Linked DNA regions of Diceros bicornis minor. The protein of the gene in region 1 purifies or fractionates together with the protein of each later gene. This does not show direct contact. Links are inferred from orthologs where the notes say so. Each region holds a gene or a part of one and is shown in the gene's direction. Other genes may lie near its edges.

What was found. The genes of interacting proteins can lie anywhere in the genome.
Region 2: the proteins of CDKN1A (region 1) and CCNE1 purify together in Homo sapiens (affinity purification with western blotting; 19 studies listed by BioGRID and IntAct, with this or other methods). This does not show direct contact. The link is inferred for Diceros bicornis minor from reciprocal best matches to the Homo sapiens genes CDKN1A and CCNE1.

Annotation. Positions count from the first base shown.
Region 1 is NC_080753.1:28,264,993-28,272,023, reverse strand, and holds the start of CDKN1A (cyclin-dependent kinase inhibitor 1), read left to right. Parts: upstream 1-4,024; 5' UTR 4,025-4,118; exon of another isoform or gene 4,119-4,184; intron 4,185-7,031. UniProt on the Homo sapiens protein: Plays an important role in controlling cell cycle progression and DNA damage-induced G2 arrest. Involved in p53/TP53 mediated inhibition of cellular proliferation in response to DNA damage.
Region 2 is NC_080773.1:3,988,235-3,995,366, forward strand, and holds the start of CCNE1 (G1/S-specific cyclin-E1), read left to right. Parts: upstream 1-4,123; 5' UTR 4,124-4,265; intron 4,266-4,718; 5' UTR 4,719-4,747; coding exon 4,748-4,770; intron 4,771-4,872; coding exon 4,873-4,960; intron 4,961-5,176; coding exon 5,177-5,245; intron 5,246-7,132. UniProt on the Homo sapiens protein: Essential for the control of the cell cycle at the G1/S (start) transition.

The DNA of each region.
Region 1 (7,031 bases):
TATATATATATTTTAATGCATGAATGAGTGAACAGACAAATGAATAAATAAGAGAGAGGGCTCAGATGCAGCGGCACTAAAGCCTAACCTCAGAGTGCAAGTCAAAAATGGCCCTTCCATAAATATTGATTGAACTCCGGCTGAGGCTGCTAGGCCTTGAAGGTACAAAGATGAATAAAATATGGCTTATCCCCACCAGTTCCCAGCTCAGAGGATGCCACAGGCATGTAAACCCAGCAGGCCAGCGAAGCACAGTGAGTGGATTACTCACCAGGAGCTCTGGGAGCCAGAGGGAGCCCTGAGAAGGCCTCCCCACAAGGGGTCACGTAGGTTGGGTCATGAAGGATCAATAGGAGTTCAACACGTGAAGAAAGGAGTAGAGATGAGGTAGGTTGGTAAGAAACACTGATTCCAAGAAGAGTGAACAATATGTGCAAAGGTACAGAGAGCCCTTCACTCCTCAGGTGGCCTGTGTTCACAGCATTTCCTCACCACCTTCTAGTCCCTAAATGATCTGATCAACTCATTCACTCTGTGCTGTGCCACCCAGAAGCCTCTGCAGGAGCCAGGCACTCGTTCTCCCCACTGGCTGTTGCGAGTGTTGGCACTGATGCTTCAGCTGAGCCCTTCTTTAGGAATCAGCCTCAGATAAAGGAGCTCTCTTGCCCAAGTTCATGCACCCCTCTGCTCCAGGGACAGCCACATCCAAAAGACTGGTTGAAGCAGGGGTACAAAAGCCCAACCCCCTTGCTTCCATTCAGGGAACTCCTAGCTCAAGAGCTCCCTGTGGGCTCAACAGAGGCCTCTCTGGGGCCTCCAGCCTCCATCTCGGCCCAACTCCTCTCTCTGCCCAATCCTGTTTCCTTTATGGTCCCACAGATGCTGATTGCAAATGCAGTCCCAAGAAACCTCCTTCAAGCAAGTCTCTACTGCAGAGTGTGTTTTCTGGGAAACCTACCTAAGATACCCCAAAGTATAAATGATTACTCAATTCCAAGGGATGCCTTCCCCAGGGACATTTGTAGAGCAATAATAATAACTAGTATTCATGGAGTGATTTCTATGTGCCAGGCACTATGCTAAGCACTTTGCCTACATGATCTTATCTGATGAAGCAAGAATTCATGCCAAAGGAATGAATTTCTAACGGTGAAATTTCAGGCTTAGGCAAGGTGAAATTTCTAGCTTAGGGAGGCTAGAAGTGTTTATGTGGCACAAATTCTGTTACAAATTTCTCTGCCTAACTCTGTGGTCAGTCCTGATCTTTGTACTGGCTGGGTAAAGCCTCCAGAAGGTCAGGGTGGGGGTTCCCAATCTCCTTCTTCCTCAAAAAAAAAAAAAAAAGAAGTAAGCAAGGCTTCTTCTGCTCAGTAGTATAATAATATCTCTGTTCTCCCTCTTTTCTGGGGTCTCACTTCTTAGAAGGCCTGTGTGGAGGTAAATTCCTCTGAAAGCTGGCTGCCCGTTTGGGACTCCCCGGGCCTTTTCTGAGAAATGGTGACATTGTTCCCAGAACTTCCTCTCCCTTCCTGGGTACTCCTGCAGACACCTCTGAGCCCTCCTCACATCCTCCTTCTTCAGGCTCCAGCTTTCCACCTTTCCTTTCCGTCATCACCTGCCTCCTGGGTGGGGGCTGATCTGGACCCTCTCGCCCCCAGGCTGAGCCTCGCTCCGTCCCTAAGCTGCTTGCTTCCTGGGGAGCATGCCTGGGGAGCATGCCTGGGCAGCAGGCTGTGGTCCTGACTGGCTCTCTGGCCCTCAAGAACATGTCTCAACATGCTGAGCCCTGACATAGAAGAGGCCAGTGGCTGTTTTGTCCCTGGGGCTGCCTGCTTTGGGGGGAGAGGAGGGTGGTAGCAGACAGAAGACGCCCAGAGACCCCTGTGAGAGCTTGGTCTGAATTTCTCTGAACGGAATATGTGGTTTGCAGCAGATCCCTTGAGATTGGCCTGGGACCTGTTCTGTGCACACGTGTGTGTGTGTGTGTGTGTGTGTGTGTGTGTGTGTTTGGGGAGTGTGACTTCTAACAACCTTCTCCTTTGCTCTCTTCAGAGCGGAAGTCCTCCTTAAGGGCATGCCTAGCTACACGTTCAGGTGTAGGGTTGGACACTTTCTTTTGAGTACTGAAGCACTAGACACTTAGTAGGTGCCTAATAAATATTTGTTGAATTCTGTTGTGGTGGTGGTGTTGAGCTAGAAGTTATTAAAAAAAAAAAAAACCTCACTTCCCAACAACAACAACAAAAAGAATTATTTCATTGTGAAGCTCAGGACCACAAAACTTTAAGTAATTCAATACAAGCCTTCATTAAAAAATTTTTTTCCCCAGAGTAAACAGGCAGACAATGTCAAGTCTATTTGAAATGCCTGAGAGCCAAGGGGATTTAAGGCAGGAGGAGATGCTTGTCCCCTGCTGGACATTTGACAACCTAGGCTTCGGGTGGTGTGGGTGTGTGTGTTGGGGGTGTGGAGAAAGGAGCTGGGGAGCAGGGGGCTGGTCCTGGGGTCCTGGCCTGTTTGAGGCCCTCCTGAGGTCCGGCTACAACCCTGGCCTGACTCCAATACCAGGCAGGCCAGAGGGTCAGGTGCCACGCCCTCCCGCCCCTACCCTGGCTCCATCCCAGCAGTGAAGGAGGAGGCCTGTCCTCCCTGAGGTCAGCTGCATTAGAGGAAGAAAACTGGGCATGTCCGGGCAGAGATTTCCAGACGCCGAACAGCCCTAGGTGTCAGCAACTGCAGCTGCTCCAAGCGTGGATTCTATTTTTTAGTGGGAATTCTGTTCAGATTAACACTCTGTTCTCTGCAATTTTTTTAAAAGCAGAAACTGCAAATGTTTTAGGTGAAGGAAGGAGGCAAAGGTGAGGTGCAAGCAGGGCTGGGGGGTGCGGAGGTAGGAAGGAGCAGATGGGCACCTCACCTGCTTCTGTATCGGTCAAGAGTGCCAGTGGACATTTCCAGAACTGTCCTTCCTCAATGTCACCTCAGTAAGCTGCCTGGAAATGAGGGGTGCTGGTGTCTCCCCATTCTCGTGTTTCTAGAGCCACTGAAATAGAGGGGGCAACAGGCAGAGAGCTCTGGGTGAGACGCAAAAGGCCTATGTTCCAACCACAGCCATTTATTTGCTGTGTGACCTGAGCCAGGTCAATGAACTTCTCTGAGCCTCAGTTTACCCAGCAGTGAATGTGGGCTGTGTGAGGAATATCCAGGAGACAACTCACCAAATCCTTCTGCCCTTCCTGCCATCAAATCAGCTGCAGTCACAGAGGTTTCTTCTGTTGAGGTGAGAGAGAGGTGGGTGTGGGGAGCAGGAGGGGGTGGGGAGCTTAGTTCAATGTCAGATTTCCCCTGGAGAGACGTGGGCCCTTTCTGGGAAGTGTCTCCAATTCCCTCCTTCCCCGAGGCATTTGATGAGCAACAGCTTTGCATCCCTTTAGTTCTGTGGGCCTCAGTTTCTTCGTTTGTGAAATAAAGGGGATTGAATTCCGTTCTGGCCTCCCAGAGGCTCTGTTGGGGTGTCTGGGTGCCCCAGGTGCTCGGGGAGAGGCGGTGTAGTGAGGGATCCGCGGGAACAGCGCTGGTAGAGTGGGGCTTTTCTGGGGAGTGCAAAGTGAGACGCATCATTTTTATTATTTAAGGACTTTCATTTATTAACGTCACCCCTGGTCTTTTCAGCTGCTTTCGGTAAATCCTCGCCCAGAGTCGGCCCGCAGTGGGCCAGAAAGGGGCTCATCCTAACAACGCCATCCCCTTCTGGGGAGCGCCAACTCTCTCCCCAGCTAAAAATACCCAGATTTGTGGCTCAATTCGTGGGGAAATGTGTCAAGCGCACAACCCAGGCCGGGGGTGCGGGGAAGGGAGCGCGCTCGGGCAGCACGCGACGTCGGCCTCGGAGCTCCGCGGAGCTGGAGCGCGGCCAGGCCCGGGGAGCAGCCGCGGGTCCCGGGAGGCGGTCCAGGCGCGCTGGGGGTGGAGCCAGCGGTCCCGCCTCCAGGGCCGAGCCTTTTTACATGGGCTGCGCCCGGCGGCGCCAGCGGAGGTGTGAGCAGCTGCCCCGGTCGGTAGCTCGGAGACCCGGAGCCGGGCGCGGATTCACGGAGACCCCGAGACCCTCGGAGGAGGTGAGGGAGCCACGGCGGGCAAGAGCGGACCCAGGAGGCGGCTTGAGCTGAGCTGAGCGTGTCCGTGTGTGTATCCCTGCATGTCCGTGTGTTGTGTCCGCGGGGACGTGTGTATCCGGGGGTGTGTGCTGTGTTCACAAGTGAATGACGTGAGTGGGTCTGCGCGTGGGTCTCGGCGTTGCGCACACGGGTGTCTGTAAGCGCGCGTGTGACGGGGGTCGGGATGTGTTGGGGAGGGAGCACAGTATGAAGGTCCCCTGCCACGCTGCCGTCCCCTTGAAACACAGCTGGGGCGGGGGAAGGTGTGGACCCGCCGCCCCAGGAGCTCTCCGCCCGGCGGGTGCGCCCCGGGCCCCCCGCGCGGCTCGCTCGCGGCGTAAGGATGCACCCCTGTCCGCCGAGGGGCCCGGGAGGGGCGGGGAGCGCCGACCCGAGCAGGTTCCTCTGGGATCCGCTCCCGGGCGGCTCTCGGATCTGATCGGTGCCGCCCCGGCCCGAACCCCTGAGGTCTGGGTCCTCGACGCCGCCGTGTCCGCCACCCGGTGGCGCTGAGGTCAGCGCGAGCTGTGTCCCTGGCCCATGGGAACGTGTCAGGACACGTCCCTTAAGGGCAAGCGAGAGGGTGACTCACGGTGACAAGGAGACCCCGGGGAACGGGCCGAGTGAGATCAGAACCCCGCCCGGGCTGGGGGACAGTGGCGACGCAGAAGTCTCCTTCCCTACCCCTCCTCGGTTTGTCCCCCCCATAAACACAGTGACCTATTTGGCTGGCACAGAGTGTTCCCAGGGAAGCCCAGACACCGGGAGATCCAGGACCGGGTGTCCGGTCCCCGCCCCACGGCGCACTCTCGGGGACCCGGAGCCGCGGCCCCGCGCTGAGTGGGCTGGCGCACGCGGGTCAGTTCGGGAGGCGCAGGAGTCCTCCCCACCTCGCTCCCGCCGCCTGGAGCCCCCGGCCCAGCCTGCCCTTGGGGCGCGCCGATGGGCTCGGGGCGGGAGCGGTGTTCTGCGGCGCTGCGGGCCGCGCAGCCCCCGCCGGGGTGGGGTCGCGTCTTTGAGGGGTGGGGCTTCAGGGGGCGCGACGCTGCTCAGGGCCTCTGTCGCCTGCATCCGGGGGCCCGGGCGCCCCCAACCTAGTGGAGAATTCCCTCTCCGAGGGAGACTGGACTGGGCGGAGCAGGGGGGCGAGTGGTCCTTGGGACACAGCTGCCCAGCGCGGACCACAGCGCGTCCGCCCTGTCCCGGGCCCTCGGGGGACCCTTGCGCCCTCCTCGCGCGGAAAAGAATCTTGGAACTGGGTTTGGCGCTTTAGGGCGCCCGGGCGGCTCCCTCCCTCCGTCCCTCCCTCCACGTCGCGTTTCGGGGAGGCCTTTCGAGCGGTTTTGTTTTCCTTACTCCGGTCTATTTTTATTTTCCAGGGATCTGACTCATCCCGTGCTTTGGGTGTGGAGATAAGGTGGAGTGCGTGCGGTGTGTGTGCGCGCGTGTGTGCGTGTCACAGAGACGGCGCGAGAGCGCGCGGTTTCCTAACAGTGGCGGGGGTTTCGGAAGCCTGGCTGCCTCAGCGTGACGTGTTCGCGGCCCCTGGCCCCCTCCCGCTCTCCCCCTCCCCACCCGGGGTGACGCGCAGCCGGAGTGGAAGTGCAGTTTTGGCGGGCGGGGAGCGCCTTGCAGGAAACTGACTCATCACGACTCCCGGCCCCTGTCCCGGGCTCGGCCCACACCCCTCCCACCCTGCGCGTGATTTCCTGGGGGCCAGCGCCCCCTCGCGGCCCCGGCGCGAGTAGCAAACGCGCCTTCCCGCGGAGCGCGGCTTCGCCCGCCTCTCCTTCCCGCCGCTGCCCCTGGGCTGATCCCCGCACCCCCAACGCCGCTTAAAAAGAGCACCCCATTGGTTCAACAGTGTTTACCGAGTGCTCACTATTTACTTGGGGATTAAAATATGGTTGAAGTCTAAGGCACAAAGACCTACAAAGGAAGCTATTCTCAGTTACGTGTTTGTAAAACTAAGAGTGCCCGCTGAGCTGGGAGTTATGATAATGGGCGGCAGAGCAGATTTTGATGGGGAGCCTATGAGAGCCATAAGGGAAGAGGTGGTGGCAGCAGAGAGGGCCCCTGCCTGGACTCTGGTTCCATCTTCAGCTCCTAGAAGCCAGGGAATATCCAGCTCCCGGATAAAGACCCAAGCAGGCTTCTCCTGGTACCAATGGGGCACTGAGACCCAGAGTGTCCATTTCAGCCATCCTGTGTGTCCTCTCTTGGCGGGCACCCCAAGAGTGCCCATCTGGGCAACCGCCAAACACTTGTTTAAGTCTCCTCCTATTTGAGTTAAGTTGGTCTAGGGAGGGAGGGGCCTATCAATCTATATTTTGAAAAAGCTTCCCAAGTGGTTCTGCTGGGCCTCTCTGGTTAAGAAACCTCAAAATTAGGGAGGAAGTAGGGCTCAACACCAGAGCACAGAGCCCAGGGCAAGTAGGCCTGGCTTCAAATCCTGGCCGTGCCACTTGTGAGCTGTGTGACCTTGGGCAAGTTACTTAACTTCTCTGAGCCTTGGTTACCTCTTCTGTGAAAAAGAGCTAGTATACTCACTTTTTGGGAAAATTAATATTTGTAAACTTCTTAGAACAGCCCTTGGCACATAAAAATACATAAAAGAATACCAACCCTTGCCCTGAAGAGAGTGGGCAAAGGTTATTTTAGGGCACTGCCCCCTGTACTGTGTAACCCATCTATGGAGCAGTGGCCCTCGGCCTTTTTAGCTGTGTGGTGTGGGGACAAGTCTCATATCTGTTCGAACTCCTGCCCTTTAAAGTTGGTCTAAGTTCGCCTAGTGCCTCCCCTCCCCGTCAGCTGAGATGGTGGGCTCCACTCAGTGTGAGAGGTGGAGTGGGGAGGGGTAGATGTGGCACGGGG
Region 2 (7,132 bases), on another chromosome or scaffold:
AGCTGCCTTCCCACCCCCGGGCTGTCACCCCCGACTCCTTGAAGTGTCTTCCAATTAGTCTCTGTTCCTGGCAACCCTGAGCTTAGCACAGAATCCATAAGTGTCAGCTGCCATCATCGCTCTATCATATACTGAGTTTAAAGGTCAATTTTAATTTTCACTGGAGTTCTTTAACTGATCACAGCCTTCGGGCTAAAGAAGTGTTGACTGGACCTGCTCCTCAGTGTAAGAGGGGTTAGGCCAGGCCTGGGACCACCATGCTTTGCCAGTCTCCCACCTCGGAGTCCATGGCACTGTGAGCTTGATCTGAAGGGTAACCAAGCCTTGGGGAGCACGGATTGGGGCCCTTGAATCCAGCCAACCTGGCAGGCCTGTGCAGACAGGTTTCCAGGGCTGTGGGAGGACAGGAGCCAAGCCTCCGGGGCCTTCCCACACTCGAGCTCCCTGGCGTGTGTCCTGCTCCTGGTGCCTGGCCGCACCCCACCGCTCACACTGGTGAGCCAGTTGGGCCCTCTTCTTCTGGTATCCCCATGTGTAGCCTTACAAGAGCCCCCTCCTTCAGCTCAGCCAGGCGGCCACACTTGGCCAGCTCACTCCAGCCATAGCCCTTGCCTTCCCTGACCAACTCTCACCACAGCAGCACTCCTTAACTTGCTGTTGGCTGCCTTTAAGGGTCCTGTAAAAGCTGTGCCCCAGCCTCCCAGAAAAGGGCACACGATGGGCCAGCTCTGTCAGCGGGCAGTTTCCTGGGCCCCTGAAGGCTGTCTGGGGGCCCAGGTTGAGGAATCCTGTCTGGGAAGGACTTCCCCCCAGCAACCCCCATGGGCTTACTTCTCCTTACCCCTAGTATCCTGGCTCCTGTCTTTACCCCTCCACCATCGTCGGGGTCAGAACCACACATGGAGCTAAGCAAATGACCCCAAATTTCTTGATAGATATCATTATTACTACATATTGAGCATTATGTCCTAAATACTATTGCAAATACATTATGGGTATTAACACATTTACTCCTCACAGCAACCCTGGAGGTTGGACTAATTAGAATCACCCCATTTTACAGATAGTTAAGGAACTCTCCCAAAGTCTCATGGTGGAGAGAAGATGCTGCCCTCCCTACACAGCAGCTGGTCTACCACCTCTAGTCCAATCCAGAGTCTCCCTCGAGGCTGAGCCAATGCCTGGGCACTCTGAGCCTGATGCAGGCACAGAATGAAATGAACCCAAACAGCCAAAGGTGAGCTGCCCCAGACGAGTGGCCATCAGTGACTCTTGAAGACTCCAAGCCTGCGTACAGGCTGTTTCCACTGCCTCTGCCAAATTCATTCATCCTTCCGGCCTCAAGCTGCTTCCTCCATATAGCTTTCTTGGCATGCAAGAGTAGGTTGGATGCCCCCTCCCCCCAACTCCACATGAAGTCATGGCCCCCAGAATTTTCCCATCCCAGCCATTATCACTCTGTACTGCAACTGCCAGTCCACACAACCTCTTCCCTTCCAGCCCAGAACCTCCCAAGTGGGCGGGGATTATGTCTTGCTTTTCCTTGTTTTCAATTATTTTTTCAAAAAATAATTCTTTCATTTTTTATTGAAGTATAAGAGCACTCAGCAAAGGGCACAAAACATAAGTGTAAAGCTCGATGAATTTTTATGTATGTACACAGCCACATAACCACCACTCGGATCAAGACATAAAACATGTGCAGTACTCAGAAGGTTCCCTGGTCCCGTCCAGTCATTACTCCCACCCCAGAGGTAACCACTGTTCTGACCGAGGCCACCCTAGTCTTGCCTTTTCTTAAACTTCAAATACCTGGAATCGCACAGTAATACTCTTTTGTGTCCGGCGTCTTGTGCCCACCGCTATGTCTGTGACATTCATTCCCGTTGCTGCAGGTTTCAGTGGTTTGTCCTTTTTCTTCTTGTGTAGTATTCCATTGAATGACCATACCAAAATTTACCTATCCATTGTACTACTGATGAACAGGTCAGGTAGCATATGGAACATCTAGAACTTTCATTCTTTGCTGGTGGGAGTATAAATTACTACAACCACTAAGGAAAACTCAGTCTTGTTTATCATTGTTCTAACAACTGTCATTTATCCAGCATTTTCCATGAGCCAGGCACTGTACCAAGTGAGTCATCTGCATTATCTCCCTCTATCCTCACAATAATCATGGGAAGGAGATAGTTGCCATCCATGAAATAGGATCATCATGATATCAACATCCTAGGATTAGTGTGAAGTTTAACCGAGATAACATTTTGAAGGATTCAGCCCAAAGCTGCCGTTTTGTAATGCTGTTTATGAGACCTGTTATTGTTATTACTAAAGGGCACAGGGCTGGGAGCTCAGGAGTCTGGGTTCCATGTGTACCTAAGCCAACCTGAGCAAGTCATCTCAGCAGCGTTGACCGCAGAGCCCCTGGAAGGTTGACAGTCCGCAAGCAGGGACCTTGTGGGGACGACACAAAGTACACTCTCCAATAAGACGCAGGCTCGAACTTTGGGAGTCATGGGGGGGTGCAAAACTCAAGACTGTACATCAGGAAGGGCCTTAGAAGTGTTTAGGAGCCCTCCAGCTGTGTGTTTCCTCTAGAAGTTGAGTACAGAAGGTACTTTCAAGTGACTATTGTTGAATACCTGTTTCTCTCACTGCCCTGCAAGCTCCACGAGGGTTTGCTCAGTGTATGTTTTTCAAGCATTCATTCACAAATCCGATTTAAGTGCCTCCCTTCCTCCAGGCACTGTGCCAAGAGCCAGGGGATATAGCAGTGAACAAGGCTGACAAGGAGGGAGAGGGACACCAGGCAAGGAAACGAAGGAGGAGCAAGAGACTATGGTGACAAGTGCTGGGAAGGAGCCCCAGCAGGGCGAGGAGGTGGAGACGAACTCTTGGGGAGGCGGCTGCTCTAGGTTAAGTGGTCCCTGGAGAACTTGACGGGAAGGAGGGGCAGCCCAAGGGGCAGAGCAGGTGACAAGCTCCAAGGCCCTGCGGTGAGAAAGGAGAGAGGGTGGGGGAGGAGCTGTGAGTGGGGGCTGAAGGGGAGATCTGAAGCGGTGAGGGCCGGTTCCCGTGCAGCCCTGTAGGCCTGGGCAGGGAGTGTGGACTGGACCCTGAGGCTGACGGGGAACGCGGAAGGGCCTCAGCGGGAGAGGCCTGCGTGGAATCCCGGCGTCGGGAAGGTCGACGTTCCGGGCAGTCTGCGCGGGGGGCACACAGAAGATGCCCGACGATTAGCTTACTGCATGCCTGCCCGCACGGACAGACGGACGGACGTGCGTTCTGGAATAACCGCTATTCCACAGAGGACCCCAGACCCGCGGCCATAGGCCCTGGTTCTACCCCGGTGACCAGCCGCTGTGACCTTGGGCGCATCCCCGCCCCGACTGAGGGCCCGGAACCCTGCATCCGGGGGCAGGCAGAACGCGCACGGTCTGGCAGTGCGCGCGGCCGACGGACAGCGGGTGCACGGGCCGTCCCCCCGCCCACGCCAGCAGGACCCCTACGGGGCGCACACCCTCGCCGACCGCCGTGTTTACATTCCACTTGTCCCGGCCACGCGGCTTTTAGACGCTCCAGCGCCGCCCGGCCCGCCCCTCGGCCGCGCGTGCCCCGTCCTCCCGCACCCGCCCCCGCCCCCGGCGCGCAGGCCCCGCCCCCGGCGCGCAGACTCTGTCACCGGGCCCGCCCCGAGGCCCCGCCCCCGGCGCCTGGCCCGCCCCTCGGCCGCGCGCGCGCCGTCCTCCCCGCGCCCGCCCCGCCCCGTCCCTCAGGCCCCGCCCCCGACGCGCAGGCCCTGTCACCAGGCTTGCCCCGAGGCCCCGCCCCCGGCGCCCGGCCCGCCCCGAAGCCGCGCGCGCCGTCGTCCCCGCGCCCGCCCCGCCCCGCCCCCCGCGGCAGGCCCCGCCCCCAGCGCGCAGGCCCTGTCACCGGGCCCGCCCGAGGCCCCGCCCCCGCAGCCCGAGCGCCCGGCTGCCCTGCGCGGCGGCGGGGCGGGCCCGAGGGCGGCGGCGGGGCGGGGCGGAGGGTGGCGGGAGGGCGCGAGGGCGGGCCGGGGGCCGGTTCCGCGCGCAGGATTTTTAAATGTCCCGCTCTCGGCCGGGCGCAGGAGCAGCCGGCTCGGCCGCCCGCGCGGTGTAGGGGGCAGGCGCGGATCCCGCCACCGCCGCGCGCTCGCCGCCGCTCCCGCCTCCGGCTTCCCGCGCCCCTGCCTGTGCGCCCGCTGGCGCGTGCCGCCTACCTGCCGCGGAGACGCTTCGGTGAGGGCCGCCGCGGTGCGGGCGGCGGGGCGGCGGCGACCCCCGGGGCGCCGGGTCGGGCCGCGCCGGGCCGGGTGGGGGCGGGGCGAGGCCGGCTCGTCGGGTCCCCGCGGGCGTCAGCGCGGGTGCCCGGCCAGGGCGGCTCTGGGTCGGGCTAGGGCGAGCTGTGGAGGGGGAGACTGAGGCAGCCCGGTCCCCGAGGGAGGCGATGGGCCGGCGGGGGTTTCGGGGGGCGTGTGGGCCCCCACCCCGGGTTCGGTCCCGGCATCGCGGGCAGCCGGCGGCGCGGCGGGTGACAGGCCACCCCGGGCTCATCGGCCATTTTCCCGACCGGCCCGGGAGGCTCCCGCCGCCGCCGCCCGCGCAGGGGGGGAGGGGTGTCCTGGGCGGGCCGGCGGGCCCCGACCCCCTCCGCCGGCCGTGCTCACCCCGCTGCCCGCTTCGTGCCCCCAGGCCTGAGGTGTGATCCCGCGCCCTGCGCCATGCCGCGGGAGAGGAGGGAGAGGTGAGCGCCGGCCGCTTCGGGAGGGGAGGGTGTGCAGCGGTGGGGGAGGGGCGGGCCGAGGGGCGGGCTCCCCCTTACCTCTGTGCCACCCTGGCTCTGCAGAGATGCCAAGGAGCGGGACAGCATGAAGGAGGAGAGCAGCGCCGATGTCTCTGTGCGCTCCAGGAAGAGGAAGGCAAATGTGGCCGTTGTGAGTACAAAGGGGACAGGTGGGGGAGAATCCCCCGTCTCACCTGGGTACCGGACTGGGCTCTGCCCACATATTTATTGCTGGGGGTTAAGGAGGGTGTGTTGGGCAGAAATGGTGCCCATAACCTAACCAGCTTTCTTTTTCTTCTCTCTCTGTGTTTCTGTCTTTGGGCTGTATGGCATGTTTCCTTGGGGGCTGGGGGTTGTTTTCTGATAGTTTTTGCAGGATCCAGATGAAGAAATTGCCAAAATTGACAGGAGGGTGAGAAGCCAGTGTGGCGGTCAGGTAGGTGCACTTGCTGGCTGGGCCTGGGTGGAGGGCCTCTCTGCTCTCTGTGGAGGTACACTTGCTCCTGCTGAAGGCTTCTTCTCTGACTACTGCCACAGCCCCTTGGGCTGAGCACCGCCTGTCAGTGGGCACCGACCTCTACCAGCCTCGGGATTCCAGCACCCCTGATATTACGAATGTGTGCTGATGTCTGGAGAAACCAGAATGGACATCAAATAACTCAGTCCTCCCCCTTTGCCCTTGAGGAAGCAGACTCGGTTAGAGGACGAAAGTAACCCAGAGTCCTGTGCCAGCCGGGGCAGAGTCCGTCGCCACCCCCAGGCTGGTGCGCTAGGAGGAGGGCGCCTGGCCCAGAGCTCTGTGGGTGACTCTGATGATGGGGGCCGTGTGTGTTCATGAGCGTCCCCTTCTCCTCCATCCACGCTTGTGTTTGTCCTGGTGCTTAAGGACCTCCCTTTACCTTCCCCCCGTTTAGGTCAGCTTTCCAACTCTTCCCTCTTTCTGGAAGTTCTTCCAGCCCATCCAGCAATTACTTGCAGTGGTCTCCCCTGTCTGGGGCTCCACCTGGCCTCAGCCAGAGTGTTAGTGGAACATTGTGTGTAATGATATGTGAGTCTCAACACATTTTTTTTATTGACTAGGCCATTTCTCTTGCTTCTCCTTCATGGAGTTCCCGCCAAATCTCCTGCGTGCTCACGATATCATTATAATATCAGAAGTTCCTAGCCGAAAAAGCTCGTATTATCTCTCTACCTCCAGAAATGGCTGGAGACTGTAGTTATGGCTCTAGTAGGGGAAGCAGCCTATCTCCCAGCTAGCTGATCAGGCCTTCTGACCCTACCACAGATAAAAGCTGAGCAGGAAGAGTATTTGAGCCGAGGGCAGAGGTCCCCACTAGGTTAGCAGTGGGCAGCGCGTCACTCTGTAGGGCAGTGAACAACAGCCATAGCAGCTGGGTCTGGGAGAGTGAAGAGCTTCAAAGCAATGGGCCACATAGTTTGCATTAACAGTTGTCACTGCACAGAAGACCCTAGTGATTAGCATTTTGGGGGAGGTTCCACTGTATATTGAACAACGGGTTGATGATTTTTTTCTTTGTTAAAAGAAGAAATACTTTACTTTAGGTAAGGAAATAAGACAGTGCAGCCCAAGTTCTTTCCTTTTTTTTTCATCCACTTAAAAAAAAAAAAACTTTAAGCCAAGCAAGTTTATTTTTGTGGGTATTATAAAATGGATCTCTACTTTGGGAAATTCAAGATTGTTTATTTTCCCAGCTGTGCTTTGAATTGAAATTTGCAACTGAGGACGAAGCAAAGCCATCCATATTGATTTCTTAGAGTTTTAGAGTTGTTTCTGTTCTCCAGGATAACCTGAGCGGTGCCCCAGGTGCCTAAGACAGGGCTGTGGCCCTATCCCAGACTGTGGAGAGGTGATAGCTGTGGCACGTGAAGAGCCGTATCGTTTCCCGCTAGAAGGCATTTTCATGGTTGTCCAGAGATTAATGACAACAGGTTTCTGCACATTTTGTAGAGTAGATAGCTTGAAAATTATCCATCTATTTATGGAGTGTCTTTGTCATTTCTCTGTGTGTACTCATGAAGCTAGAATTTTGGAGTAACAGAACATTTTTACCTATTAATTACCCAGACTTTTTCTCTGAAGTTATCATAGTTCAGCCCAGTACAACAGCTTTGAGCTACTCGTAGCTATCATACTAAACTCCATGTAACTGCTTCATCAAGACCACATGGACCCTTGGATGATTCTTACCTTAGGCCTTTCTTAATGCAAAGAATACCTTTCTATCTAAAGTCCATTTAACATATCCATTCTGTTGTTTAATTTTTTGCATGAGACCCAATTTTTTTACTGAAGTGGAATCCT